Linked DNA regions of Pelodiscus sinensis. The protein of the gene in region 1 interacts with the protein of each later gene in a pairwise test. Links are inferred from orthologs where the notes say so. Each region holds a gene or a part of one and is shown in the gene's direction. Other genes may lie near its edges.

Evidence for each region.
Region 2: the proteins of PPL (region 1) and RAB3IP interact in binary tests that used the Homo sapiens proteins (3 or more experiments, as listed by UniProt). The two-hybrid records come from large-scale screens. The link is inferred for Pelodiscus sinensis from reciprocal best matches to the Homo sapiens genes PPL and RAB3IP.
Region 3: the proteins of PPL (region 1) and ALAS1 interact in binary tests that used the Homo sapiens proteins (3 or more experiments, as listed by UniProt). The two-hybrid records come from large-scale screens. The link is inferred for Pelodiscus sinensis from reciprocal best matches to the Homo sapiens genes PPL and ALAS1.

The regions. Positions count from the first base shown.
Region 1 is NC_134726.1:5,915,975-5,926,479, reverse strand, and holds the start of PPL (periplakin), read left to right. Parts: upstream 1-6,148; 5' UTR 6,149-6,316; coding exon 6,317-6,378; intron 6,379-10,505. UniProt on the Homo sapiens protein: Component of the cornified envelope of keratinocytes. May link the cornified envelope to desmosomes and intermediate filaments. May act as a localization signal in PKB/AKT-mediated signaling.
Region 2 is NC_134711.1:64,099,680-64,109,908, forward strand, and holds the start of RAB3IP (rab-3A-interacting protein), read left to right. Parts: upstream 1-5,574; 5' UTR 5,575-5,695; intron 5,696-10,229. UniProt on the Homo sapiens protein: Guanine nucleotide exchange factor (GEF) which may activate RAB8A and RAB8B. Promotes the exchange of GDP to GTP, converting inactive GDP-bound Rab proteins into their active GTP-bound form.
Region 3 is NC_134721.1:42,250,508-42,261,218, forward strand, and holds the start of ALAS1 (5-aminolevulinate synthase, non-specific, mitochondrial), read left to right. Parts: upstream 1-6,567; 5' UTR 6,568-6,725; intron 6,726-7,307; 5' UTR 7,308-7,324; coding exon 7,325-7,547; intron 7,548-9,021; coding exon 9,022-9,240; intron 9,241-10,711.

The DNA.
Region 1 (10,505 bases):
AGCAAGGGAGATTCAGGTTAGCTGTATGAAAAACCTTCCTAACTCTAAGGCCAGTTGAGCTGTGAACTAGGCTTCCAAGGGAGGTTGTGGAATCTCCATTGCTGGAGGTTTTCAGAACAGACTGGACAAACACCTATCAGGAACGGTCTTGGCATAATTGGTCCTGCTTGAGCTCAGGCAGATGGACTAGAGGACACCTCAAGGTCTGTCTTACATGTCCGTGATTCCAAGGGATGCTTAGATTTTAGCAACACATGGCAAACAGGCCTGACAAGACCATCTAGGGGTATTAAAGAGGTTGGAGTTTGCACCAAAAGTAGATCAACTTGCTGGCTACAGATGCAGGCTACCAATGCATCACACGCTATTCACTGTTTCCTGGGAGTCGGAACAGTGAGCATTTGCAGCCCCATTGCAATAACACGCATGGCAGACCCAGCTGGGGTGCATGTCCATCTCAGCCTCATTCCTTCCTCTGCAACTAAGGCCTCACCATGGCATCCCCAACCAGTTGTCTCTTGTTTGGGCTCAAGGTGACCCCAGAGCTTCTGCAAAGAGGCAGCTCCATTCCCGGGGGGAGACAGCCCAAGGTGGTGAAAAGAGAGGGCTAAGATGGCTTCAGGATACTCTGTCTTGCTAACTCCAGGCCTGGCTCAGGGCCTGTCTGGTCCCCATTACGCATTAGAGCAATCCCTCAGGGTTCCTCTAGGCTGGTGTCACACTGTATGTACACCCTGTCCTGAGGCAGCACAGCCCAATGGCTAGGGTCAGTAGCCCCAGTAGGGGCCTGGGGACCACCCTGCTCCACTGGGCCCCAACCCACAACCCTGTCAGTGGCAGAGCGATCCATCACTCACACAGCAGAGAATCGCACCACACATGCTGAGCTTGCTCAGGTGGGAGATACCGTTCACACACCCTCCCTGGGTCACTTCCTACCGGATACAGCGTTGCAGTGCTCCACGTAGCCTCGGGGTCCTCCGGTTCCACAGCACCAGCCTCTTCCTGAGGCTCCTCCGGCAGCTCAGTGCGTTCATCCAGGTCTCTAGCTGGGGTGTCACTAGAACTCCTGCAGCAGGTTCTTCTCCTGCAGCATCCAGCCCAGACAGAGCTGAGCTGCTCCCTTTTATACTGCTCCAGCACTTAGAGCATGCTCAGTATGGCTGAGGGGGTGGGACTTCCTCCCTCCACAGGGCATTAAGTCCTCCTGGGCCAATTCAGGGTATTGGCCCTCTGGCCCAGACTACCCAGAGTGCACCGGTCAGCTCCCTCCCCCCGCCATGTCCCTATGCTAGGGACTGCATGGTGTAGAGCTGTGAGGACATCGCTGTGCTGGCTCAAGAGGCCCCCTGTGCTGAGGGCATTTCACCAGGCGTAAAAAGGGTTTTACAGCAGGATCGGAATCTATCCCTTGACATGTTTATCCAGTGGCAGGTGCCCCGGCTGTGCCCGTCATCCCCGTGCTAACATCCCATTGCAGCCCTCGTCCATTTTCCCTTACCCCCTTGTGGAATGGCTAGAACACGGTCCCTTGGACCACTTCAGTGTCTCTGCCTCCTCTTGATCTCACTGCCCTTTGACCGCAGCTGGAGAAGTCCCAACGGCCTTGGAAACCTCGCACCACGCTGGTGGCAGAGAGCTCACGAGCAGCAGGTGGAGGGACAAACTGTGCCCTCTGTGCGGGGGTCGGAAAGGCAGCAAGCGGAGGCCATAGATAGAGATTTAAGAGGGCGGGGATGATGGGTTGAAGCAGGATCCCTCAGAGGACTGGGTATAACACCCCCCATTTAGAATAAAAATCCATGCTGGTGGCCTTGAAGGTAAATCTGCAGCCACAGCCAGCACGGAGCCAGCGTTGTCCCTGCTGAAATGAGGCTGTAAGAGCTCAGTTCCTAAGACCCGCGTGCTTCATTTGTCAGTGGTGAGAGCCAGCAATGGAAATAAGCGAAGTGAACACAGATGGCCAGCGTGGGGCAGGCATTGCCGTGTATGTTCGTACAGCCCCTAGCACAGCAGGGCCTCGTCTTCGCTGAGGTAAATCCTACAGCTCCTGCAATGACGGCTGCAGAGCTTCACTGACTCACGCCAGCGCAGGGATGCCCCTCGGTGCCCAGAGGGATTCACGTGGACGATCCGGACTGAGAAACCGACACCTCCGGGTTGCCCAGCTCCAAGGAGGGGAGCGAATGGCCAGGCTGGAAAGCGGAACCTCAGCACCCGGGGGATTGTGGAGCCGGTGCCGGAGGGATGGGTTTGCAAAGGGGCTATGAGGTTTTCCTGAGCGTCCAGGACTGAACGTTCGGAGCAGATTCTGATCTCATTGACACCACTGCAGAGCCAGCTCCTTTCTCGGCATCCCTTGTGGCTTGGGTCTAGTTTCCTCCTGTCCCCTCCCCTCCCCTCCCCGGAATCATTTCTTTCCTTTCCACCCCCATCCCTAGAGTGGCAGCACCTCCTGCTATTTGTCCTGCTCCCCTCAGGTGGGCGAGCAACGTCACCTCCCGCTAGCACCTCAAATCCCCCCTTTCACTGCAAAATGCTGGCTAATGAAATGCTCTCTCCCCAGCTAGCCACAGCTGCAAGCTGCACTGTGTCACTGACAGCCCGGGGGGGATGGGAGAGGGACAGCGCAGGCTGGGGTGCTGGGAAGGACCTGGATCAGGAACCCCGAGCAGCAGCTCTGGGGGCAGTAAACCAGCGTGTGGCACGCTCATTTCGCTGCTCGGTATTGCAGCTGCTGCTGTTTATTTACTGAGCACAGGCCCGCTGAGAGGGGGACAAAGGGGACAATTGCCCAAGGGCCCAGTGATTCCAAGGGGCCTAGCACTGTTCTTATTGCCACAGCCCTAGACCCTTTAAATCACTGCCGGAGTGCTGCACCACACGCTCCGGGCGGCTCAGAGGTCTGCAGGAGGGAGGGGACGCCTATGGTCCAGGTGGCACTGAGGGCTAGTTGCTCCAGCCCCTCCCCTTCTGCCCAAGGCCCCGCCCCTTCTGAGAGCACAGAGCTGGCCCCTGTGTGGGGGCCATGGAGGCTGTGGGCTCCCCGACTGAGCAGTAGGGGTCAATGCTGTGTCTTACGGGGGAAAGATGGGAAGGCAGATCCTTGGCTGGTGTAAATTGTCCTAGGCCCCAAGGCGCAGCATTTACTCTGCTCTAATGAGAAACACAGCATTACTAACGCATTGGCAAGGGACCTGCCTTCCCCCTCTCCCACGGACTGCCTGGCAGGCCACGGACAAGGGACTTAGGCCCAGCTCCTCCCAGGTTCGTCGGTCCCTAACTTCCACTGAAAGCAGCCAAAGACTTGGAGGCTTGGGCCAATTTTTGCTCAGTGATTCAGCTGAGATTTTCACAGCAGACTTCAGGGTTTGGACACATCTCCTTCACCTGCCCTTTTCCTGGTCATGCCTCCTGCAGATCCTGGGCCCCTGGAGGCCGCTCTGGGGTCCGGAGAAGAAGGGGAAATGGTGCAATGGAGTTAGTTGATGCTCTCTTGCATGTGTGCAGAGAGACAGGCGGGCCAGTGATAGGGCACTAGCCAAGGACTTGGGAGGAAGGGGTTGAGTCCTTGCTCCGCCACAGACTTGCTGTGTCCTTGGGCAAGTCACCTAGTCTCCATGTGCCTCAGCTGCAAAGCTGGACTATGCAGCTAATAGTGCTGGGAGGAGGGATACATGAAAGACCAGGAAGCGCAATGGTGTAATAGACGGCTCAGAGACTCCCCTCAGTGCACAGCTCCACACCTTGCACATGGAAAGGGCAGCCATGGGACAGCCTTAGGCTGCATTTTTCCAGCACTGGGCACCGCAGGGACTGCGTGCCAAGGTTACGCACGTTCCATCAGCCACTGGATTAGGGATCAGCTGTGGGTTTCAGGCTCACAGCCAAGCTGGGTTTAAATCATTAATTAACAGAAGTGTTAAAAGAGACCATTGCTACAGCATAGAGTCACCTGTCAGCACATCCAGGAAGAACCCCAGGGCTCTCTTAACAGGATGAGAATTAAATTCAAATCAACAGGCAGCCCTTTGGAGCTCATGTTTCCCTGCAGAGAAATGAGCTGATAGCTAAACAACCCAGCCTCCTTTTGCCTGGCAAAGTCATTCATTATCCCCTTTCTCCCTGCGCTGACATACTCCAGCAACAGACAGAGGCGGGGAGAATGCCTGGGCTGCCTTCCGCAGCTCTCTGCTGTAGATGATTGGCAAGGCTGGGGAAAAGGAGCGGACTCTTTCTGCTCTTAGAAGACTCCCCTGGAAAGTTTGATGAGGAATTTGACACTAGGGCTGGGGCCGGGACCGTGAGCTTCTACAATGAACGAGAATTGGGCCCTTTACGTACACGTCTACATGGCAAAACCCCCAGAAAAACAAAGCCACTGTGGCAAGTCTCAAGCTATGGTGCTAAAAATAGCCATGTAGATGTTCCAGCTCAAACTGGAACCCACCCTTGAATGCCTACACGGCTGGTTCTGGTGCTGTCTTGTAAGCCCCACAAGCCCGAGTCTGTAGAACCGAGCTCTGAGCTCACTGCCGTGAGGTTTTGGGGGTGTCATTATACTTTATGATCCCTCGCAGTTGCCCCCATCCACAACCAGGCCATGAGGAACAGACCGGGTAAGGACAGATTCTCAGCCACTCTGCTCCTGGTGGGTGTCCAACTTGCCCCCACATTGGCCTGATCTTCAGAGGAACTAAGCGCCCGCAACTCCAGCTGGACTCAGTGTGCCGTGCCTGCTGTGCCTCTCCGAAGCTGCCTCTGCCCGTGTCTCACGCCCAAGCACAGAGGCAGCTGAAGACCCCTCGCCTCTTTGGAAAAATGTCTCCATTGCCGATTTGCCCTGTTACACTCTGCCTCAAAGGAGCGATAGCACCCAAAGCAAGCCCTGTGCCTTGCTCTAACCACTCACCTGCTCTGCCTTCAAGCAAACCGCCCTGACCGGTTTGAACACTTGCATCCTACACAGCGCCCAAGGAACAGACCTAATTCTGAGCTCCTGCTCACTGGGGCATGCCGGATGAACAGCCCTGATTTCAGAGGTGTTACAGCGTACAGGATCAGTCGGCCGAATCCTGCACTGACCTGCCCTCAGGACATAACTAGCGCTGGATTCGGCCCTGGTGAGGGCTACACAATTCTGTAGCCATGTGTTTAGTCTCACATGGCCACAAAGCCCAAACAAAAGAGTTGCTCCTAATTGCTCAATTATATACATGCCACATTGTGTGGAAGCACGACCCGGTGATCAGTTTCCCCATTTTTCGGTTGCCCTGTTAGAGCTTAAAAACAACAATGATCCTGTAGTACCTTAGGGCATGTCTACACAGCAGCGTTATTTCGGAATCACTGAGGTGATTCCGAAATAACATAATCTGCGTCTATACAACAGGCAGTTATTTCGACATCACGTGGAAATAATGTCTTACTCCGACTCCTGTAACCCTCATTTTACACGGTGTAAGGAAAGTCAGAGGAAGAGTGCTCTAACTGCTGTGTAGACCTGCCCTTTGAGACTAACAAAAATATATAGATCGTATCATAAGCTTTCATGGGCACATTTTGACATTTCCTTTTCTTTTAAGGCTTTAAAAAACTCCGCATCGGAGTGAAGTGTTTCGTTTTGGGTTGAGTGAAAGATTGCAGTCAACCGGTAACTTGTTAAGAAATGAGAACGGCCACACTGGGTCAGGCGCATCCTGTCTTCCGATGGTGGCCAGTGCCATGTGTCCCAGAGGGAATGAACAGCGATAGGGAATCATCACGTGATCCCACCCCTGTCAGCCCTTCCCAGCTCCCGGCAAACAGAGCTTATTTTCCCAGTTTTGCAGGGTGCCCCAGGAACGGAAAAATAATCAGATACACGACTGTAATGTGCACATTCGGCTGGACAGTCGCTCCCTGCCTCTGGTAACAGGCTGGAATGCTTCCCTCCTGTGAGGGGCTGAAGTAAGCCCCAGCTGTCCCTCGCACAGCGCACACACGCAGAGCCTGATACTGCTCGTGGTCCCTTGGAGTAACCTCTGTGCTGCTCCCAGCGAAAGCAGGCTGGGGAGGTGCGTGTAGCTCCGCCTGTGTCAGTGACATGTGCCGTAGGTAAGCACCACCTTCTCTGGGAGAGCCCTACCCCGCTCAGTGGGAGAACTCACACCCCTGGAGCAGGCACAGAGAGCAGGGCTGGAGGCGGCTGCCGGTTTCCCTGTCCCTTCCTTCCCCAGACGAGCACTGTACCTGCAGGATCTAGCAGCAGCCTCCTTTCGCCAGCTGGCAGCCAGCCCTTTGCATTCAGGCAGCTGCTAGCACCAGGGAAATCACCATGAACTCTCTCTTCAGGAAAAGAAATAAAGGGAAATACAGCCCCACGGTGCAGAAGAAGAGGTGAGTACTCCGGCTTCCTTCCTACGGGGCTCTTGGCATTGCCAGCCTGCAAGACTCAGGCTCTCCCAGAGCTGGGTAACCACACATTCCTAAGTGGCAGAGAAACAAGGAGCAAAGGGATCCTTGGAGAAAGCAGAACAGAGCCACTCTGTTGTCAGGCGTCAGAGTAGAGGCCGGAGACAGGTGCTAGCAGGACATGAGAGGTGCCAAGGACACAGGCACGCAGCAGCGAGCAAGCAGCTTTCCGGAGGCTGCACCGGGCTAGGACAGGCGAACGGGTGCTGCTGTTTCCTTTGGCTTCCTGGCTTTGAAAAATTGTGCAGGTCGGGGTTGTTGGCACATTCCAGAGTGTAATCTCTCCGGGGAGCGGCCGCACGGCTCGGCCTCCCCGTCCCCTTCCTCCGCGCAGCGCTGCTATGCGCCTTATTTACTCCCCCTCCACAGGGCAAACGCCAAGGCAGCAGAACATGTCTCGATGCGTCCTCATTTACACAGCAAGCCCCGCTGATTTGATAAACAAGCATTAATGTATTCCATGCACAGGGGACCAGAGCCAAAGGGAGACGCCCACCGGGGCGCTGGGCCAGCTCTGGCCAGCGGGCGAGGGAAATCAAGAGGCAGGGCCGGTCGAACGCTGCACGGGGCTACCGGGGCAAGTGCTGCAAATGTGAGGTGGTCCCCAGAGGGAAGTTTTGAGGGCCCAATCCTGAGAGGGGCTGAGTGCCTTCAAGCTCCCATTGATTTCAATAGGAGCTGAAGGGATCAGACCCTAAGCCCTTGGCAATGCGCCTGACTAGCAGCATCTATTAGCAATGAACTGTGTCTGTTAGGACGTACTGGGACCCTGTGGTAAACAGGCCTGTGGAGGGGGCATCCAGTCACTATGGGGCAGGTGATTGTCCAATAGGAGTGCTAAGGGCCAGCAAGGGTAGAGAGCCAACCTGTTGCTGCCACCCAGGGATGGGCCCAGCTGGGCTAGTGATGGAGACGGTTTCTTCAGGAGAACAGATGGCACAAAGCCCCAGCCACACCAGCTTGCTGGACTGGATCTGAGGCTCTTTCCTCCGTGAGGTCTTGTTAGCTAATCTTTCCCAGTCTCCTTTGGGGGAGTTTCTCAGCCCACGTGCCGGGATTCCCAGCAGGTCCAGAGTTTATCCCATCCCCTGTGATGATCAGGCCCTCTACCGCAGGGCAAGCCTCTTTCGGAATGTTGATTTTGGGGCAACAGATGAATGACATCTGCCAGGACTTAACCCCACCTCCGCTCTATTACTCCTTCCCCAACTAGGATCCCCCACCCAACATTCCCTGTTGCAGGATGCCTGACACTCTCCACAATCAGCCCCACCTTCTGCTCCCACCTCCAGGACTTTCTCCTCCCTCACTGTCCCCCTCTTTGCTAACAACGCTCACTCTCCTTTCTCCTTACATTCTCTCTCCGACCTCCTGCTCCTCCAGGAGCTCAGGGGAGCCTCTTTTCTCCCCCCACCACCTGCATCCCTGGGCACGCTCAGAGTTTCCACGCATTCGGCAGATGCCATTCTTGGTTACAAACCCCCCGAGTAAACTGAAAGTGAAGTTGGCCCGATTCCTCGGCAAAGCTGAGTGGAAACTCTTTTGCTGTGTTCAGAAAAGTGACTGTTCTTGGAATTGTTAAGGGTTCCCCTGATACCCTCCTTTTATGGAACGCTGGTGAGGTCCAGCAAGCGCGGCGTCTGCATGGGTGGGTTGCTTTTTTAAAGGGTCTGTTCTGGAGAGGCATCTAGGGTGGAGACTTGGAACAGCCCTCTGTGTTTGTGTTATACTCAGCCTCGTTCATTAACTCAAACACACCCACTTCAAGAGGAATGGGAAGGAACCAGCTGGAAAACGCATTCTTGGCTGCATGAGTTACACCTCACCCCCGGAGGTACCTAAAGGCCATGGCTCACCAGGTGCTAAGTTATAATATTAATTAATATAATATAATATAAAAGGAATCAAGACAGAGTCAAGCAAGAAAATGGAGTGCGAGGGGTTAATATTTCCAACAGGCATGGGGGGGGGGGTGTTACACCAGCAAACATGAATTGCAGGTGCAAACAGAGTACTTGCACCTCTCGTGATCCCGATTTGCCTACACATGCGGGTAATCAGAGATGGAAAGAACCACATAGCTGAACTGGGGGTCCCCAAACGTGTGTGGAAATGGCACTGAGAAAGTAAGCCCTTGCTTTGTGCTCAAGTGAAAGGCAGCAGCAGAGATTAGCTGATGCAGCTTTGGAAATGTAAATGAAGCACAACCTCTCTCTGCTGGTTTTATTTTTCTCCTGAATTGATGATGGACCTGTAACCCAGACACACTGGCTGGGTGGGGCACACAGTCCCATTTAGTGGCACTGAGTCCACTCCCAGAGAGAAGACAGAGTCTGCTCCACAACCTTAGTGGAGCGCCAGAATCCACTAAGCTCCAGTGGTCCCGGGTTCCATCCCAGCCGCTGACGATTGGGGTGTGCCGGCATGAAGAGCAGCATAGGCCAAGTGGAGAGGATCTCAAGGAGAGAAGTGGACCTGCCTGAGTGGAAGGGACAGGAGATGGACTTGGAGAAAGTGTGTTGTTCTGGGGATGCCAGGATACTAGAGCTCAGGGTCTGTGAGCTAATCAACAATGGCCGTTAAATTCCTCTGGGGCTTTCGTAGGCTGATTGCTACTTCTAAGGTTGAGGAAGGCAAGGTGACATTTTTCCTTTTCTATTGAAATTAACCCTACACTGGGCAAAGTCTGTGCTGTTAGCTCAGTAGTGGTGCAGCATGCAGCAGTTAAGTTCTCTTGCCAAGTACAGACTATGACAGAGGCTAGATTCTAAGCCTCCATAAAGACTTCAGGCTTGTCCCCCGTTTTATAGATCTCAGATTATAAGCAAGCAAATGTATTCAAGCCCCAGAAGGCTGAAGGGGAACAGGGGCCAATGAAGGTCCAGTGTTCCTCCACGCAAAATGGAGGCCATGCTCAACGGATCCCGCCCACGGGCTGCATGTTGACCCCTTCGTAAACCCAAACCGTACCACGGGCTGCAAACAAGCAGGCCGCAGGTGGCTCACGGGCCACATGTTGAGTAGCCCTGATCCAGATCAGCCCTGACAGGTGTTTGTCCGACCTGCTCTTAGCATTCAGGCCAGAGAACAAGCCAGACTCCACAGCCATCGCAAATGTGAGCCAGGCACGGCCAATGGAGACATTCGGCCCTGCCAACGTGGTCCCTCGAGCGTTCGGCCTAGGCGGGTGGCTGAACAGAGGGCTCAAGCATGCGCCACCTGGGAGCACCCTCTCCTCTGCTGGAGGCCAGTGGGCGGGGAGGGCCTGGCTGAAGGATGCCTGGGTGAGGCTAAACGGCCCGGGCTCGGGGGATGGGACACAGGTTTTAGCACCAGCCTCCCCAGGGGGGTTCCTGCTAACATCCCCTCAGCTTTGATCTCAAAGGGCACAAACGAACCCTCGTCAGCCCCCGGGTCCTGCTGAGCACATTTAGCCATCATGGTTGTGGAGAGAGGCTTGAACTGTGCCCTAGAGACCCAGAACCGGACGAAAAAGACGCTGTTTAAAAAGCTCACGATTTTAACCAACCTCGCAACGGGGAGGGGCAGCACGGACTGGCTCCCTCCACAGACAGGGATGCCTGGTTGGTTGGGTGAGGGTTAAGGCGCGGTCCTAGAGCGGGCCAGGGAAGTTATGCCAGCATCCAGCTCTGCCATGCCCAGTAACCAGGTATGACAAGGGCTCATCAAAACAACGATGGTTAGGCTTGTGGCACCTTGGAGACTAACAAAAATAGATAGACAGACACATAGACAGACACACAGACAGATAGTATATGGGGATAGACAGACAGATAGATAGATAGACACACAGACAGACACACAGACAGATAGTATATGGGGATAGACAGACAGATAGATAGATAGACACATAGACAGACACACAGACAGATAGAGGGGGTATATGGGGATAGACAGACAGATAGATAGATAGACAGAATCATGAGCTCTCAAGGGCCAAACCCGCCTCCTCAGGTGAGGTGGTCCCCTCATGGTACCTCAGCCCTGCTCTGCCCCCCTCAGGTGGCGGCGTGGGGGAGGGGTTTGCGCGT
Region 2 (10,229 bases), on another chromosome or scaffold:
CAAGGCAGGAAACATGGTTTTGCTAGGCAATAGACTTCAAATGAGTGTAAGGGTTACAAAAAGGTGGACCTCAAAGAAAGCAATAGTAGATTTTAAGAGGTTAGGTTTCTTTCCTTGATCCTGCAACCTTTTACCAAGTAGTATCATTCACTGATATTAATGAATTAGAACAACATCCAATCAATGCTGCATGAAGATAGCCAAAATAGAGAGTGCATTAGAGGAAAAGTAGATTATAAAAAGTATGGGTGTATAACAGATATTACAAGTGGAAGTAGAATACTGAGTAGAAAGTACAAACCTCCTCTTAATTATACATTCCCATCTATGGACTATAGGATTACCTCTAGTCATTAATCCTTTGAAATGTCTATAATTGGCACCACAATCTGAAGTCTGAACCAGATTAATTAGTTTGCAAACAGCGAAATAGAATAAAAGACAATGCAGTTTTGAAGACATTTGGCTGAGCAAATATTGATCACTAACAGAATTATATTGTCAAAATAATTAAATCTCATACTTTGCTATCTATACACACTTCAGAAACTATCAGATAGTTACATACTGCAGAGTATGAAATGCATGTGGTTCAAAGTGACACTACTAAAAATACATTTCTTGATGCATTATCTAATTAAAATTAACTGCTTTAAACATCTATTTAAAAACAGATCTTATGTGATAGATGATTTTTATAGGCTGAGTCTCAGACACATTTAGAAAGATGAACGTTCATTGAAAAAGACACATTTAATTGTAAATAGACATAAGCAAAGTCATGGCTGCTGGGAAAATGATAGTGCAGCTAACATCCTTGACAGGAACCTGTTTAACAATATACTTTGAACTGGTATGTTCCCTGATTGTGGGCTCTGCAACAATATGTGTAGCCTCACAGGGGAGGCCTTGGCTCACAATGTGTGTATGGGCTGGCAGTTCGCCTTTGGCACTGGCTCTCCAGGGAGCTTTAACTCTTCAGTCAGTAAGGATATATTGAGATTGCAATTTAAATGCACGCTGAACACAAGCTAGAACCCAAGCCCCTCTTCATGGGGTATGTCTACACTGCGAGCCCAAGATTAATAGTATTTAAGTTAGCAGACCATGCCATTTGTTAACCTATAGCTTGAGCATCTATAGTAATCGTAACCCCAGGTTAGGAATTGTTGAGCCTTGGGTTTCAACTGGATGCTCCAGCATCCACACTGCATTATGAGGGCCTACCACCAACCACCCATATTCCAGACTTCCTAGTGTCCTCTCAAAATGAGGTCACTGTGCACCACAAATAAAAGTCTAGGGTGGGAAAGCTTGACTGACCAGATGACATAGAAAGTCAGCCCAGGAGATTGTGGGATACATTTGGCAGTCTGCCAGAGCAGCAATCCAGTAGGATCTACACTACAATGCAATAGGGCATGAACCCTCCTGCTCTGAATCTCCACCCTTGGCTCCTAGTACTGGGTTAGCATGATTTGTGTGTAGGCAGAAAGGGTGTTAGGCTGGGCTTAATTTGCTGTGTAGATATACCCACAAATATATCAGACTGGGGCTCAGATTTAGGGTCCTAGGATTCTGCAGGACTGGATGGTCCAAATCCCAAACAAGCTATGATCCAGAGATCACACCCTATTGCTTTGCTGTAAAGACACAGCCTGACCCACTCTGATCAGGTTTTAAGAGTCCACCAAAGGTATCCCACAATCCTGTGGACCAACTTTCTTTGTCTTCTGCATCCCAACTATTTCCATTTGACTCTAGTGAAAACAGAAGCGACCTGCCCTCGGCATACAACAACGGTATGGTGAGTAAGCTCGAAACCTTCCATTGAATTCTGACCACCACATTGCAAATTCACCATCAGAGAGGCATTAGTGTATGCAATAGAGACTGAACAGAAGCAGCTTCTTACAAAATGCATTGCTTTATGGTTGTGGGAACAAAGCCAGATTTTGTTAAAAGAGGCCAGTCAAATTAAGAACATCAGCAATGACTACACATACAAACAGACTGTGAAAAAGCTGGCACTGTTTCAACCTTACTGGATTGGTGACCAGCACAGGGAGAGAATTAAGCATCTCAAGAACTAGTATAGAAAAATCCAGGGACTAGAGTCACACACTGGGCAACTCACCAACATTATGCCAGTTTTATGAGGAGTTTGTGTGTGCACTACTCCCAGTCTGGAGCCAAGAGTTGTGCAGAACCACCTGGTCTGCTGGGATGGGGCCCTGCTGATTCCAGAATCCAGCATGGGGACTGATGGGAGCCAGCACTGAAAGAAGACAACAATGAAGTCACTCAGTTGCTGAAACTTGTCCTGGAGTAAGTTTTGGAACAGGACAAGTAGACACAGCAGCACATTTTGGGCCCATTAGCAGTGCTATTTAATGCCTCCTTTCACCCCAGAGGAACAGTTTGCAGCAGACACAAAAGGGACAAAAGCTGCCCAAGCCCAGCAAGTTTCTGGCTCCATTTAAATGTTTATTCATTCAGTAGTTGGAGGGATTCTTCTGCTCTGTGAACCAATGAAAAATTTCTGAGAAATCCCAGCTAGCAGCATGTACCAACTAATGGCAGTTTGTATGCCACCATATTGGCATCTCCTTCTTCCTCCCTCACCCCACATGAAATTAAAAAAGGTGACTGGGAAATATAAACAGTAAAAGAACACTTTGAAAGTGTATTTTTGTTGGAAAGGTACAGATTTAGCTAGGGCCATTCCAGTTTCTTAAATGTAATAACCTTGCATTGCAATGCCTGTAAATATTTTGCTCTGTAACCACTAAATTGTCATCGAGCTGCCTGGAAATAGTGAACCATGTGTGGGGTGGGAATGAAGTAAAAATGTGTTTCATTTAAAAATCTAGTCCATTTCAGACAGAAGTAGTCCATAGGTGACAACCAATGGCTGAGACTGTTAATTAAACTTTTACCAGGGCCTCTTAGATGAGAGTATAGTTTCATAAGCCATGGCAAAGGTTGGTATGTTGGCGTCTTCCAGAATAACTTTTCACTTCTGAGCAGCAAAAAACCATGACATCATTTTCCCTAGTGCAGCCTATTTTAATGTTCAGGAATCAACCACTGTCATCCATGAATGTCTGCCTAACAATGGAACAGAAACCTTTGTGGTATATGTACTTTTGCTCCTTGAAGAGGACAAATTATGGGCACATGAGTCACATCAATAGCCCCAACACAGTGTGGAAACCTCAAACCAATAAGTATTGCAGGAATAAAATTTATACTCCTCGCCTGGGGGAAACCAGATATCTGATTGACTCAGAAACCTCTACCCCTCTTTTCCCCAGGGTTGATTTCCCAACCCCAAACTAGTTAGCAACAGGTCTGCAGCAGTCAGAGATAGCCAGTTACTTAACAGCTATAGCAAGACACTTCTGGATCAGCAAGGGTGACCTGCTGCAGGTGTCTTTACACTGCAGAGTGAAGGCAATCTATCCATAAAGCTCTAGAAATATGGCTTTCTTCATAAGAAAATTCTGGACACACTTCTGGTCATCGCAACTCCATTTGACAATGTGATCCCACCAGTCTGTGCTTTTGGACCTGTATCAGTCTATGTTAGGGGTGGGCAAAAGGGCCTCTGCAGGCAGAATCTGGCCTGCCAAGCAAGTTGATCACTACTCCCACCCCCAAGCCAATCAAGACTTGGGGGCAGTGGGAAGCACGCAAAGTCTCCTCCTACCCTGCCCCCGCCTTGCAAGGAGTGCACAGTGCTTAGAAGCACTTCATGGTCCTGGCAGGGCAGGAAGAGACTGCTCGCTTCCTCCTGCCCCCAAGCCCTGATTGGCCTGGGGGTGGGGACGTGCACGAAGCCTCCTCCCACCCTGCAAGGGGCACAGCACTTCTAAGCACTGAATACTCCTCGCAGAACAGGGAAAGGATGGGAGGAGACTTCGTGCGCTCCCTCTGCTCCCAGGCCAATCAGGGCTTGGGGGCAGGGGTTGCATATGAAGTCTCCTCTGGCCCTGCAAGGGGCTCAGCAGTTAAAGTCAACTGCTCAGCTGGCGGTTGACTCCAAATGCCATGCTCCTTTGCAGGGCAGGGACAGGAAACGAGAGCCTTCACATGCTCCCCCTCCCCAGGCTGTGATTGACTTGGGGGCAGCAGAGAAGAATGCTAAGTCTCCTCCCACTGCCAGGGGCCTGGGCACCTACAGGGAACCACCAGTTGTTTAGAACAGCGGGTGGTTCTCTCTGGGAGGGGCAAAGACTTGTACCCCCCCTGCAACCAATTACGTGTGGGTGGGGAAGCACGAAAGTGTCCTGGCCCCACCCCTTCTTGGGTGGCCCGGGTCCACTTCAAAAATTTCTGAAGTGGCCCCTGGTCTAAAATTATTGCCCATCCCTGGTCTATTGAGAGGGCATCAGTGGTTATACCGAATGTCCAAGTAGCATTAGCAAGTAGGAGTCTGCCATGTCAGGGTGTTCTTCTCTTCCTGCTCGATTGTAAGCTTTGTCAGGTACCTTCAACGGGTCAGGAAATTCCTCCAAAATGCCCACCAGCGCATCTCATTGAAGCTCTGCCTGTTTCCTCTTCTCTGCTGCCTCCAAGTCTGTTTCCTGAAAGGAGGCTGTTCAAACTCCCTATCATGTGCAAGGTGAACAGTTAAGATCTCCCACAGTGCACTACACAGTCAAAGGGCTAGAGGAGATACATTTCAGGAAGGTGCTAGGGACTTTGGGATATAGCTGATTTTACGAAAATTTGGCTGCTTCAGTGTGGATGCCATGCACTGGTGCCAAAAGGATTGCCAGAGTGTGCGGGTGAACCCATCCAACAGCCCAACTCTTATAAAACCCCAGCCACAGCCCCATCCTACCTTTCCAGAGCCTCTGCCCTCCCATCAACTTTACTCTCCTGAAGCAACCTATGCTACCGCAGCCCCCCAGCAGCACAGACCTCCCAGATCCCATGCCCTCTCCCACTAGTCCCATTCTCCAGGAGGTTCCGCCCCCATCAGCCCAAAGCCCTCAGCGGATAGATGCTTTCTGCTTCCGAGATCAGGCAGATCCTAGGGATCAAGTGGAGCCTCCTCTGCAGTTTTGGTAAGTGACAGGTTAAGACCCAGTTGCCAACATGTGGCTCGCTGCAGAATTGGCCCCGTGTGCTCGACTTAGCGGGAAAATCACTCACAGAGCTCTCTCCCGAGCTAGATTTTAAGAGGAAGATGGTGTAGGTCCCTCTGTGTGTGCGCGCCCCCCAATGGGCAGCACCTTTGAAAACGTGTGGACCTGGAGGGGGCAAGGTCAAAACGGCAGCCGAATGAAGCTGAACACCTTGCAGCGTGTGGACACCTTCCCGCCGGAGCACTAGAAGAGCCCGGGGGAGAAGCATAACGCAGGGTTAAAAATCAGCGGAGAGGCTCCACCCTCGGTTCCCGACCCGGTTCAGCTGCCTCGAGCCCTGGCCGTGCCCGGCACAGCCCCCACCCCTCGGGGCTCCCAGTGGCCAGGCAGGGCCAGAACGCCTGGAGGCGCAGGGGGAGGGGCGCCCACCTGGCCAGTCACTGCCCAACCCGGCGGGGGCGTGCGCGCGGGGGGGATGGGAGGACGGGAGTGTTGTGCGCATGCGCCCCCCACGCGGACTCGGCGGAGCCCCGCCCCGCGCCAGCCTGTGGGGAAGCTGCGGCGCGGACGCCTGTGGACGGCCTGGCGGGGCTCGGCAGGTAAGAGGCGGGGGCGGCTGGTCCCTGGGCGGGAGTGGAGAGGGGACCGGCCCCCCGCTCCCGCAACTCCACCCCCCTCTGCGTCCCCAGCACCCGCCAGCTAGGCGCACCGGCAAGCCCCGCTCACGGGCACCCAGCCCCGTGCCCCTCAGGCAGCGAGCTCCCTTCGCCAGCCCCTCTGCAGAGCCCTGGCCTCTCCCGCCCACAGCGCGCCTGTGGAGCCCCGCCCCCCCCCCCGCAGTGTCCTCCCCACGCTCGTGAGAGTCTAGACTCCTGCTACGGAGCTTCTGGCACAGAGTCCCCCGGCGCCCGCCCCAGGCACCCGCAGCCAGCCCCCTCTATCCTGGCCTTCGCACACAGCTCCTCGGCCCCCCTCAGCACCCTGGGCACCACCAACGTCCTGTACCTGTACAGCTCCCCCTTACACCCCAACTCAGCCTCTGCAGCCGGGCCCCGCAGGGTTTGTAGTGAGTGCCGTGTCTTGCTCTCTTTAGCACCCATGTAACTTCTCCCCCAGCAGTTTACGTGACTCTTGGTCTCAGAAGGGAGGCTTTGACCCTGCTTATGCTCCCACTTTATCCCTTCCTTGTGACCCAAACAGAGCCTTTCCTTTCTTCCTATGCAACCACTTGCAGACTCAGCACTCACGTGACAACAGCGACAACAGAAGCCTCTTTCTGCCCATGAAGATTGCTTCTGGGCAGAAAATTACAGTTTATACAAATACCTTTTCTCCACCCTCAGTTGGAATGTTTCATGTTTGCCTCTATTGTGCTATCACTTATTCAGCAGAATTTTTTTTGCTGAAAATCTGTGAGGAATGCTGTTTAAATACTGATGGCATGATACATAGCCTATAGGTCAAGTCTTGCAATGAAATGGTTTTGTGTGTGTGTGTGTGTGTGTATGTATGTATTTGGGGTGAGGTGGGGTAACTATTCTCTACAGCTGTATATTCTTTACCTCTTTAGATTCCTTTTTGGTGTCATCTGTACCTTTGCTGAGATGTTAGTTGATGAGTAAAGAGAGATTGTCAAGTGGAAATCCAAATTAGTTTCAGGGGATGTACGTGAAACTTTTACGCATCTGTTGAATAAAAGATCAAACAAGAAAGAAAAACTCAAACTCACTACAGAAAGAGCTGTCAGATGCACAGAGTAAATAACCTGAAAATAATGGTTTTCTCTAATCATGCTACATTTAGCATGAAACCAAACAGCCAGATATCTTTAAGTTGATGGTGTTCTTTTAAATTCCTGCATATTGTTTAACATTTCAGCAGAACAACAAAATCAAGACAGTGGGGAAAATGAGTGAAATTAGAGGCTTAATTGTTGTTGTTTTAAAGGCTGATGAGATGTGCATATTGTAGTTGTTCTGAAGCATTAGGTTCCTCATCTGTATCTGGAATTGAAGTAAATATGAAAAGAGAGGTGCTGCTGTTAAAAAGTGGGAGGGAAAAGGCTTGACCATGTTGAGAGAAAACGAGGCTTGTAGCTATTCAATTTGATACTAAAACGTCCTTGAAATTCTGGTTTGAAGCATCCTCTGGCCTGAAGTGACTATCTTGAGATATTTAAAAAGTGCATTTCAGCTTTCTTGACATTTTCATTGCATGTTGTAATAAAGGTTGTTGAGTTGTTTATAAAGTATTTTTATTTACAGAAGAATAGCTAAACCTGATATAGAGGTTAATGCCAGATCACTTCTTAGCACTGTTAAGTTTGTTAAGTAGTGAGGATTTCAGTTAACCTCAATTTCATAATGCAGTTGAGCTGGATCAAGAAAAAGACACAGATTTTGGTTATGATGATCGTGGAGCTGACCACTTGTGATCAGATATTACAGGAAACCATTATAAACATTTTTTATGATACCGTACTAGTTTCAAAAGAAATATAAACAGATGTTAATTGGAAAACAATCACCCTAAGGGGCAAAATCCTGAACAATTCTGTAGCCATAAAATACATAACTACAATAATATTTTACTCCGTTTCAAAGCATTGTCATCTTTAGTTCACAGTTGACATATTTGTTCACTTACCTTTGCTTTGTATTTGATTTGTTTACTCTAGTCCCATGCATACTCTAGTCTCTACACAGTCTTAAGTATGTATGGTAGCTTAAATGCCAAACCAGCTCTACAATTTGAAGTAATTATGAAATTGATAATCGGCCTCTTTTTAGAAGTAGAAGTAAACTTTGTTTATTTAGAAACTTGTATTGATGTCATCTGCTCAACTGTATCCATACTCTTTAACAAAGTGGGAGTTTGGGAATATGAGGGGGGAAAAATCTGAAGCCTGATTAAGCATGAATATCCTTTTAATATTATGTTGCATTTTATTACATTACACATACTGTAGGTATTGTGAGCGTGGCAACATCATTCCTTTCATTATTATTGTTTCATTTAGCAAGGTTACGCTTCCATTGCACTAGGTTAATGTTACCTTGTGAGCAAAGTAGACTAAATAATTTACCATTGCCTTTCGCTTTTAATAAATAATGTGCACACACCTTGCAGCTGACATTGTAATACCCAGCACTCTTAAATCTTGTTACAATATATTTAAAAAGGGAAACATTTCCTGTAGAATTGTTAGGATTGTCCTTTTCAATAAAAGGACCTATTTTTCATTGAAGTAGAATAATGTAATTAGTACTCTTGCAGCTTGTATTCATTTTATTTATAATTCTGTTTTTAATAATTTTAAAAGTTTTGTTAACTACTTTTATAGTTGCCTTAATGCTTATGTCTGTCAAAGAAGCAATTTTGGCATTTATATTTTTGGATTTTTATTTCAAATTGCATACTATAATAATATTCAAAATTCTGAAATTTAAAACTGTCAGTTTCAGTAATAACTAAATTCTGGATCATACTTCTGTTCATATGTTAACCCTGTTTTCCATTAAAAAAAAAACAAGAAAAGATAAAATCTTTAATTAAAATATCTGTTTCTTAATCATGAACTTTGTCTTAACAGCAGAAATGTTGTAATGAACCACAAAACCAAAGATGAAAGGGAAGAATGACCTGTTGAAGTCAGTGGTATCAGATCTAAAATCTACAAAGCAGTGTAAATCTGAGAGGAGAAACATATTGGAAATCAGTCACATTACTTAAAATAGATGAGTATTCACAGTGTAGAGGTTTCTTAAATCTTGGGCTGCTGTATGTTAACTAGGGATGTGGAAGCTTAACTGTATACAAGTTTAACCAATAAGCACGAGTTTATCAGTTAACGTTCATGGTTATATACAGGCTGCTAGTACGCGCAGGGCTTAAAAGCCAGCTCCCAGCATGCACCGGCTCCCAGGAAGCTGCCTGCTGCCCTGTGCTGGGATATGGGAACTGGTACATGCGGGGAGGTGGCTTAAAAACTGGCTCTCTGTGCACTGGCTCCTGGAGAGCTGAGTGCTACCCCGGTGTAACCAAAGTTGCCTGTAATCTCCCCACAACTGCTTAATCAGCCCTGCCCATTATTACTGTGGGGGCTGATTGTATCTTGGCAATGAAAGTTAGGGATGTAAGCGACTAGTTGAGTAGTTGACTACCCCCAATAAGCATATGCTTATCAGGTAGTCAAGTCACTACTTGTCTAGTCACTTCTTCCCCCTTTGCTGCCTCTAAATTTTAAGTTTCCAGGGCCTAAAATGTAACTGTTCTAAAATGAACCAACACATATTGAGAAGGGATGCCCCAGACCTCACATTGTCTCTGGACACACTGATGTTAATTGCAGTTATAAAAGGGCAGAGACAGTGGTAATTTTAGCCTCCATTCTGTTTTATAAAAGTTTCATAACTAATTGCCATTTGGTGTGTGTCTGTGTGTGTAGTGCCCTTTCTGCCAAAAGTGCCTTTTTTCATTTCAGGCCTTTATGTTCTTGTGGTATCCTGCTGGCAGTGGTAGATCTTATTTTAAGCTGCTGGAGGGAAACCTGCAGTGTATGCAGCTGAAGTATTCAAATGAATAGTAACTGAACAGCATGTTTATGAGTGGAGTAGGCTAGTCAGTTTATATGGATGGTCTGAAAAATAGCCACACTGCAGACAGAAGGGTATCTGGAGTTGCTGCTTCAGGAAAAGTTCATAGCTACCAGCAGCCAGGATTTGGTCAGACTTCATGAGGGAATTAACATGGTTTATCCTGTTATTGCTTGATGTAAACACATCAAAATCTGCAGCTTTACTCCATCTCAAAATAAACCCACCACAGAATACTGCCACCACACTTGTACTTTGGAGAAACGCTGTGACATGCAGCCTGCATGGATTATTTCTAAGTGAAATAGACTTGAAAATAAATTTGGAAATAGAATTCTATTTCCCAAACACACACTCACTTCACTGATTATAGGCAACTGCATGGACCCCAGAGGTGTGATTGCAGAGTGGCAAGTCTTTAAATAATGAAAGGAAAACAAGATTGATCATAACAAATCTCTGTGACTTGACAATTATAATAACCTTTATAGCTGTTTGTTTGAAATTCCAAATCACTAATTTGAGCTCCAGGTGGTGG
Region 3 (10,711 bases), on another chromosome or scaffold:
CACAACGGCTACTATACAATGTTAACTTCAATAAGCTGAGTCCTTGCTGACTCCAACTCTGACAACACAAAAGTAATTATCTTCCATTCTAAGGCTACTGTCACCTGGAAAAGAGGAGAACATATCTGGCAAAAATTACTCCATCTTTCAGTAAAACTCTGGAGTTCATATTATCCTTTTCCAAGCAAACTTTAAATACAAATTAACTGCAAATCTTGGTCAAGGTCAACAACACTTCTTATACCATCTCTAACTTTCTTGTAAAGTATAACGCAACTGTGAAACCTGCTTATTATAAGAAATGCCATTTAAAAAACTCAGTTGAATATTTCTAATACAGTCAGGGGGCTTTTTTTGTCTTTCCAAAATAGACAGGATTAATATGTATGTTCTGGTTTCTGGACTTTTTATAAAGGCCATCATTTTCTTTGTGCTCTGAATCTATTAAGATTAAAATTTGCTGTTTCAATGCCTTACCTGCACATACGTGTGGGTTTATGTGCTGTTCTTGGTGATTCTGACGGAAAGGCCTTTCTTCAGTAATCTAACCCTTCTCATGCCTCTTTTGCACCCTATTCTTGGTTGCCGTAGCTCATTGCATCTTTACTAATATTTAGGCCGAGACTGTGTAAATTACGCAACACGAGCAGATCTTTGTGCCCACACAGAACCCCATTGATCTGCATGAGGTTCTGCATAGGTAGAGTTTGTTCATATGCGAAAACTTGCATTCTGTCCCTCAGATTGTAAACTACGGCAGGGGATGTCTTTTTTTTTTTTTAGTCTAGAAAATTCTTAATGCTGTCCTGGGGGCTGCACCAATAGGTCATGAGTTTTAAAGGCATTCTGCGGTTCTAGTGGAGTTAAGGAGAGTGATTGGAACTCGGAGAAATTGGGATTGGCACTTTATTTCTGACCCTGCTGACTGTACGGCAGTGAACAAGTTGCATAACTGCTCTGCATCTCTAAAATGGGCATGGCCCACTTTTGTAAAGCATCTTGAGATCAGATAATGAGAGAGATGTAAGTTCAAAATAGCATTATTTTGTGTCCCCTCTTCTAGCTTGATGCCTGTATTAAATATCACAATAGCTTTTACTTCACAATTTTCCATATGTACCAATGGGGCAAGAAACCTCTTAGGATGTGGCCACTTGTGTGGAGTTAAGGTAAAAACTTAATCCTGTCTGTAGGGCTGTGCCTGGGTTTAAGGTTTGCTCATGTTCCTCTGCAGCGAGTAGCTTATATACTGGCTTGTGCTATGAAAGCAGGAGGCAGGAAATGGTTTTCAGTTTAACCGTGTTACGGACACTATTGAAATCTCTTTTTTTAGAAGCACAAAAATCCCTCAGTGCCTACCTCGCTAAAAAGCAGGGTGCAGGAGCTCTAATCACTAATGGGTGTATCTGATTGGTGTGAGAGGTTACAAACTGGCTGTTCAAGTTTTTGTTTCCAGAAATATTAGAGAAACCTGTCTTGCAAAAGGGGAAGTGCTTCTATTGGCCTTTTTTAAAAGGCAACTTCCTTCTGACATTTTTACACTATGTTTAAAGAAAGACATCTACAGCTGTGATATTTTGGCACTCCTCCAATATCCTGATGACCCCAGCCTGGGGTACAAAACATGGATTTTTTCCCTGCTGACCTAGGGCCAAATCTTGAAAGAAGTTGTGCCCTAAACTCCAGTTACTCAAATGGGAAGCCAAGTATAATTGAGCCTCTGAACTCCAATTCACATACCAAATCAAACATTTCCCTGACAAAGAATTACTCAATATCTTGGATCAAAAGCCTGACCTATGTTACACTTGTGCCATCCCAGGGAAATCACTAAGCAGCACAAGGATTAATGTCAGGGTAATCTTTAAAAATGTAGCTAAAAATAGATCCTAAATTACAGCCTACCTTTGGGTCCTAGGGAGGTGGTGTGGGGCTGCCTTGAACAGAGAATCTTTTCTAATTGCAGGAGTCTGCATTTAGTAAGTAGAGCTGCATAGGAAACAGCTTTCTCATCCTGTGAAAATCTTTGAAAATTTTTGAAAAACTTTCACATTCTGAATTGGGACAAAGTTGAAATCTCATATTTTATTAACCAAAACTCTGGAAAGTGTTTGGTTTGGATCTATCAAAAGATTTCATTTTGATCTTGTAAACTTTTCTAAATTTAGTAAAATCTCAAAACTAAGGCAGTTTCAACTCTAAGCTAAAAAACTTCTTTTTGCAAAATGGGAGGGTTTGATTACAAACTTTTTTCCAGTAATTTTTGAATTGGGAGATTTATCAAAACTGTCCATTTTTGGCATGATGGGGACTGTTGGAAAAATGTCTAACCAGTTCTATTAATAAAGATTTTTCCATTTTAGAAATAAAAGTAAATAAACCCCCAAAATGAACTTAGATCACTAACTCAAAATGTGCTTTAACTAAATCCTCTTTATCACCTTTAATACACTTCAGCTTTTAGTGTCAGCTTTATTGGTGCACAACACCTAAACTCTGAGAATACAATAAAATACAATCACCTTACTTTTTTTCTCCCTTTCTCTGTATTCCTTCCTTTCTGCAAAAAACAGGAAGGTAGAATTGTGGACACACTCCATACCCAGTTACTCTCCTGGTTATTAAATACCCTGACCTTCCCAATGTGACACTCTTTGGCAGGCCTCCGACCTAGCAAATGCAGTGGAAATCAAGTTAACTGTACTCCAAAACTATTTAACTTTGCTCACCTCCACTAAGCTACTAGGTTAAATATTGTTCTTTCACGACAGATATTTTACATGTAACTACAGGAGGTAGTGTTCACAGCATATATGAGGAGTCTAGTTTAAAACCGCAGAATTAAAGATTCGTAAAGCTGAACGTTTTCTAGCCAAGTTACAAAGATCTCCAAATAGCAAAAGTAATTCTAAACCTGATCCAACTTTTTTGAACAGTATCCATCAGACACCCTTTACCATTCTACCCATTTTTGTTTAATTGGTCAGATTTCTTTGCTTTATTTTTCATAGATTCACCAGAAGGAGCCACATTTATAAAGATAAGGCATAGTTGACAAATTCCAAATAGGCTAGGGAACTTTCCTGTTCGCAAACAAATTAATATTGAAGATATGCCATTAGTGGAATTGGATTCCAATTAGGCAAAAAGAGCAACACTCTCTATGCCTGGATGAACTAGATGAGGAATTGTTTGCGGAGGGGACTTGTTCTGATACTGTTAAGCAGTGAACCTATGTCTTGTTTTCATGCCTCCATCTAATCCATGCAAAAATAGTTACTGTGGTTCCATGTAAAATGTATTTCTGATATGACTGTTTTTATTCAATAAAACAAATCACAAACTTGATTTGAACATTTTGAATGCACCTAACTTTGAGTATGACCAGGTGACAGGCTTTGATAAAACATTTAGTCCTTGTATTCAGATATTAATATATCATTCTCATTTTATTTCTCCTTGTGGTAATTTAAGTGTAAATTGCCATTGTTGACAATGGTCTATAATCTGGTACACAGTGTTTTTGCATTATATAGCCAAGAGTGAGTTCAAATCCTACTTCAGCTTTATTAGTATAAAAAATGTTGACCAATGTAGTGTAAGATTCTTACAGCTTAAGCAAAAAAGGCATTTAAACACTTTACATGTAGAAAAAACTTCAGTCATACAACATTATTGATCAACAGACTAAATTCCATCGGGGATGATGATTGATTTTTTTTTGGAGGGGGACTGTACAAGGTTTAAATGAGGACAGAATTTTGCCTTTTCTCCCTCTTTCCCCAGTTCAGAGTTCCTGGACAGCTGGAAGATGACTTTGCCCTGATTCTTAATAACTAGCTCTTATTATGTAGTATAAAGTTGGCAGTTTTTTCAACAACTTTCGGAATTCTAATATAGCCTCTGCCACTAACTCATTGCATGGCATCAGGCAAATAACTGGTCCCTTTTCTCAGTTACAAATGGGACTTTAAGGATCAGCTTGTAACCTCTGCATGTCTCTTAATTTACATTTTTTTCAATCGGCAGATTTTCAGGTGTTCACACCCCACCTCAATTCTATGTAGGTTCCTGCACCACCCTCACTTCTATGATATCCAAGCTTCTTCTCAAAGTGCATTACTCTTTCATATGAGCTCTGCTCTCTTTGACATCTAAATGAAATGTTCAGGCTTGTAAAGGGATGTGCTGACCATTGTTGGAAATGGCTTCCATATCTTTACTATTTCTGATCTCCCTCCCTATCTCACTCACCAAAAAACAATATAGTATTAGTCAAAGTAACATTATCTTCCATTAAAATCATCCACACAAATACTTGTGCTGTTAAATAAAAACAGAACCAAAACTGCCTGATCATTATCCGCCACTATCAATGATCACTTCCACACGAGGCCAAGAAATTACTGAAAGTTTGTGGTTTTAATAGTCTAAAATAAAGGCTAGTGCCAAGTAAACCACTAAACATAATATATAAAAGGGAAGATTGCACCGATGATCCAAGAGTGAAGTATCTACTAAACCTTCAAAATAACTGACAGACTGCAGAAGAGAAGAGTGAGGAGGGATGTGATAGCAGCCTTCAACTACCTGAAAGGGTGTTACAAAGAAACTGGAGACAGGCTATTCTCAGTGGTGGCAGATGACAGAACAAAAAGCAGTGGTCTCAAATTGCAGTGGGAGAGGTCTAGGATAGATATCAGGAAAAACTATTTCACTGGAGGGTGGTGAAGTGCTAGAATGGGTTATGACAGTGTAATCTCCCGGTTAAGGGGTTTTTAAGGCTAGGCTCGGAAAAAAAAACATGTCTGGGATGATTTGGTAGGTCCTGCTTTGAGCAGGGGGTTGGACTAGATGACCTCGAGGTCTCTTCCAACCCTTAACTTCTATGATTTTATGATATGACTCTAAATTAGAAGAATGTTATTTGTCAGTGAACTTGCTGCTGTCATTTGTTTCAATGGTGTCTATGAATTCCCCACCCCTTTCCTGCTCCACACCCTAACACAATGGTACAGAGCTGCTTGTTTTTAGTGTTAGCATCAGAGTTTAACAGTAAGTATCAATGTTTGAACAAACCAAAGTCTTGCTTACATTAGCTGTAATGTGAGTGAGGTAAACAATAAAGATCCGGGTATTCATGATAAATGTTATTTTTCCTGAAGCATAATTCAAAATGAAAATATCTCATATTTGAGGACTGGGAGGAGTGTCACAGCAGAAGTAAATAGTATTTGGCATGGCTCTAGTGCTTTTTAAAAAAAAGTCAAAGGACTTAAAATCCCTACATGTAATAAGTACGGCAGTGTCTTGCACTAGGGATGGAAGGACATGAGAAGTAACAGTACAAGCAAAGATAACAATCCTTCAACAAACAAAAAACAGGACTATGTAGCACTTTAAAGACTAACAAGATGGTTTATTAGGTGATGAGCTTTCGTGGGTCTGACCCACGAAAGCTCATCACCTAATAAACCATCTTGTTAGTCTTTAAAGTGCTACATAGTCTGATGTAGCTGAAACAAGAAACAGGACTAACACAGCTACATTTCTATAACTAATCTTCAACAAATAGCTTCCCACTCTTCCTGCATCTGTGATCTGGACTTAATAGAAGGTGACTATCTCCCTCCAGTACATAGGCCTACCTGGCAGTAGGGTCAGGTGCCATATTCCACCTGTGTGTCTTGCTGTCCAATCTTAGATCTACACGTGGCTGATGGGATAGTTTGGTGGGAGAAGACAAGTATCTGTCCCCAACATCTTTCACCCTGAAATTCCAAACCCTTTAGTGACTAGCAGCAGCGCTTGCACTGTCCATGCTCACAGAGCTGTCTCCCTTTCGCAGTTAGGGTGTGTGTAGACTACAGGGTTTTGTCAAGAAATGTGGACTTCTGTCGACAAAACTATACCTGTCGCTACACTACCGCCCAGTCCCGTCGACATAACTCGGCAGGAAACCCCATTCTACGAGGAATAACGCCTGTTGCGCAGGGAGGTCTGGCGACAGAAGGCGTTCGAGCAGCTACACTGTCCTGTGCATCCACACTGTGCGGGCGGCAAAGAGCTTGCTCTGTCGCAGCGGGGGGGAGGGGGGGTAGTCTAGACGCTCCCAGAGCCTGTCCTCCAGACGTACCCTAAGTAAAGCGGGCCCTGAGCCCAGCCTCTCCCCCAAACATGCCCCGGGAAGGGGGCAGCGGGGCCCTAGCCGGGGGGGCGATTCCCAGACCCGTTCTCAGCAGGGAGCTGCCTGTATGACGCCCCGCCCCACTGCCAGGCAAAGGCTGAGTCCCGCGGGCCGGGGCACGGCAGGAAGGGGCCTGCGGGCTCCCGAGCCAGGCCCTGCCGCGCCAGGGGCTCGTGTTGCTCCAGCCGGCCCGGGGCGAGGCGCCCGCAGCGAGAGCTTTCTCCTCAGCCCCGTTCCTGGGCAGGCGCGAGGCGCCTTCCGTTCCCTCGGTCTGCCCCGCCCCCAAACGGCGCTGCGTCACTTGGCCCCGCCCCCCGAGCGCGCAGGCCGGGGGAGGGGGGCGGGGCGAGGGGGCGAGCGCGAGCGTCATAGCGTAGGTAGGCGTCGACGCGCGTGCGCTCCCGCTGTGTGTCCGGGCAGGGGGACAGCGGGCAGTCGTCCTGTTGTGCGCCTGCGCGGAGCGCGGGGTGGTTATATAGGGAGCGGCGGCCTGAGGCGCTCGCGGAGGGACTCAGGAGCAGCCGGACAAGCGGCCGAGGCGAGTGGGGCCCCGGGCTGGGGGGAGAGCGCTCCGGCCGCGGCTCGCCCGGGCAGGGCAGGGCAGGGGGGCGGGTTCCCCGACTGCCGGCTCCGGTCCGCAGCGCTCGGGCCCCCCGCCCGGGGACCCGCCCCGCTGAAACCGGGGAGGGGTCTCGCTGCCCCCCCCCCCCGACATTGGGAAACCCCGTTTGCCCCTCGGCGTTGCCGGGCACCCTCCCCCTCCCCCCCCCCCCCGCGCGGGGCCGGCCCCGGGTGCGAGCACCAAGTAAATGGGGGGGGGGGGGGGAATGCTTGAGCCCGCCCATCGCAGTAACCTCCCGGTCAGTCCGTTCCCTGCAGCTGCCCCTTTAAACGCTCCCCCTCCCGCCCCTTCCTGTGGGCAGCCTGGAGCGCAGCCCCCTCATCGCCCACCCTGGTTCTGATCGCTCCCTGGGTCTCTGCTTCATTCATCGCACCGCGGGGCTGCCACTGCGCGGCTTTCCCCCCGCGGGGGCTTGATTGTTGTGTGTGTTATGCAACCTGGCAGTCTTGTAGGTAAGACATTATCTAACGCTGTTGCCGTTTCTGCATCTTGCTACAGGATCCAAACACCCGAAAATGGAAACTGTTGTTCGCCGCTGCCCGTTCCTGTCACGGGTATCCCAGGCTTTTCTGCAGAAGGCTGGCAAGTCGCTGCTCTTTTACGCTCAGAGCTGCCCTAAAATGATGGAGGTTGGGACTAAGCCTGCTTCCCGTGCCCTGGGTACTTCAGTTGCTCACTGCCAACAGGCCGAAGAAACAACTCCACCTAATGACAGTCAGTGTCAATTTTGTCTTTCAGGTGCTTAAAATTATGGTAAAATAAAGCTTCCTCACCATAAGGCTTTTTAGATTGTTTAATACTAGCTCCCAACATTTTCCTTTCATTTATAGGGCTAGGAGAGGTTAGAACCTCTAAATTGCCCCTGATTTTGCTCTCTCAATGAGTGGCGTGAAAACCCAAAAAAGTTTACCAGTAAATATCTCGCTGTTGTTCTTACTCTGTATTGCTTATATACTCATTCAAATGCCTCAGGGTGTGTTGGGATTTTTTGTTTGTTTTTAAAGACTGGTCTGTCTGGTTTGTTAAGCTTTTCTTTGAAAGAAAACTACTTAATCCTGTACGATTCAGTGTTGCACTTGGAATAGGGTTATGAGTTTGGAATTCTGACTTTTGGATTTTGTAATTCATCCAAATCTTGTATGTCTTCTAATGCAATAGAAGTGTAAATGAAAACAGCTACGGTATGTAATGCACACTGAACAACCGAAAGGGAAATTGTGGGAGGTGGAACCTAGCTGTTTGAAAAACACACCACCTTCCAAAAACTAGGAATGCAGAGTATGCTATAACATTGCTATCTTACTGCGAAGCAACGGTGAAAAGGTATGCAATAAGATAAAAATGAATTGGGTCCCTGGGGCATTTGCTAAGCATACATTAAATTATTACAGGGCAACATTAAATGGATATAATCAGCTCTTGATAGCTAATTTGCATCCTAGGTACATTATTATATAATATTCCATCCTTTTAACGTGCATTTAATGATGATAGGGTTACTTGTTCTGTAACATTTGCAGGGTGCCATTTTTATTCAGTAGTTTTTCACAATAACAACCTTTGACTTATGTAATAAAAGCTTCCTGCTTAAGTAGAAGAGGAAGAACTTTAAGCACCCTGGGAACTGCCCAGCCAGAAGGAAACGTCTGGCAATTGTAACTGCCTGAACCAGTTTACTTCTAAGTGTTGTGTTCAATCTTCTCTTAACACGTGTTGCTTATCAATTTAACAAATACTTGCAAAGAAATCAATTGGATTATCTTAAAACTATTGTTCATACTCTGCAAACTAGAGCAGTGTCTGAGAGCAAAGGTCTGCTGACCATAACTATGTAATTGGTACAAATCCAGGTCAGTGGAGTTATCAGCTTATGATTTATGGCTGTTATTGACCCTGGATGAGAATTTATAATAAATAATAGAGAAGGGGCAGCTGGAAAAAGTTTGAAGTTGAAATTAAACTCCTACACAAAGCATACTGGTTCCACATAGGGGGAAGAGGCAATAATGCTGAACACTTCAAGAAAACTTGAGTTTAAATGCTAATCAGATATTGACACTTCATATTTTGTGATTACACAAGTATAGATGGTTCAGTTGCACAATTCTGAATAGCTTGTGGTTTAGCGTCAGTTGTCAGAGTTTTTGTTTTTAGGCAATCCAGTCACCTCAGTTCTTGGTTTTTAACCATTATTTTGTTTCTCCTATCTAAGAGGCCAAAAATTCCAAAGATGTGTCCCCTGAGAAAACCAATGGATCCCAGCTCCCTACTGGCCATCCGCCTGCTGTTACTAGCCAGAACACTAACCAGAGCTCTGCCACTAAATGCCCTTTCCTGGCAGCTCAGATGAACCCTAGGAATAGTAATGTTTTCTGCAAAGCCAGCCTAGAACTCCAAGAGGATGTGCATGAAATGCAGGCTGTAAGGAAAGGTATGTTTTTACGTATGCTGCAATAAACAATGAAATATAGCCTCTTGTAATACCTGGAGATAAAACCTAAGTCTGACAATAGTTATCTTATAGGCCAGAGGGAAGGCCATAGGACACTGCAACAAAAAGTCTTCATTGTAGAATATAAGAATTTTAATGTGCACATGTAGTGCTGTTTGTAATACTCAGAGGGTGCGTCCAGACTGGCAAGATTTTGCGCAAAAGCAGGCAAAAACTTGCCAGCTGTCTACACTGGCCACTTGAATTTGCGCAAGAGCACTGACTTTGTAATGTACAAAATCAGTGCTTCTTGCGCAAATGCTTTCACACTCCCGCTCGGGGGAAAAAGCCTTCTTGCAAAAGAATAATTGCGCAAGAGGGCCAGTGTAGACAGGAAAGAACTGTTTTGCACAAAAAAGCCCCAATGGCTAAAATGGCGATCGGGGCTTTCTTGCGCAAAATCACGTCTAGACTGGCCACGGATGCTTTTGCACAAAATCTAGACGCGCTTTTGCAGAAATACTTTTAACAGAAAAACTTTTCCGTTAAAAGTATTTCCGCAAAATCATGCCAGTCTAGACGCAGCCAGTTTGTGTAATCTTTCTTTATACCAACTGTTTGTCTACATGTTTTTTGTAGCTGCTTTTAGTGAGACTATGTTCTAGTTGCAAAACCTGTCAAGCTATAGCATTCTTTGTCAGTTAGCTTGAAAGAATAGCTCTTGCTATTGTTTATAAAAATTCAATGTTGTTACCAGAAAGTCTTACCAGTATATAGAACACATTAGCATTTTCAAAGAATTAAGCAGCTAGACTGGAAAGCATAAAACAGGACACTAGAGACAAGTAGCAATTGAATAGAATCAGCCTCCCTTCCACCCTGGACCATTTTTTCTTAATACTTTGGTAGTGCCTAATGGCCCTGATCAGAGATTGGGCTCACATAGCACATGTACAAATAACTGTCCATACCATAAACAGAATGTTATTTTCAGATTAACTGAGTTTTGTCAAAACTCAGTGTTAAAGTCTTTTCTTTCACCAATACCTATAAAGTCTCGCTGCTTCCTCTGGAAGAAATCAGTTTGTTCCTTACCCATTCACTCCAGCTTTTCCAGTCTGCTGCAAGCCGTAGTAACAATGATCCAAAGCTTGGAACAGCAGGGAAACATTTTTACTTAGAACCAAGTATGTGTTTTAGTTGTATTAGCCTACCTACCAAATTCTTAGGTCAACTGAATTGGTCCCAGGCACTTTTTAATTGGACCTCAAATGTTTGTTAGACAAGTTCTGATTTCACAAGATCTGAAGAGAGTATACAGTGCATTCTCTTCAGCTTGAGTCTTTGTGCTCTGCTCTTGTCTCAACTATGATTGTTTTATTAAAAAATGTAAGATAGTGAATTCATAACTTTTCTTGGCATACAATCTTTTTATATAAGATGTTGTGAAACTAACTTAACTCACTGGATT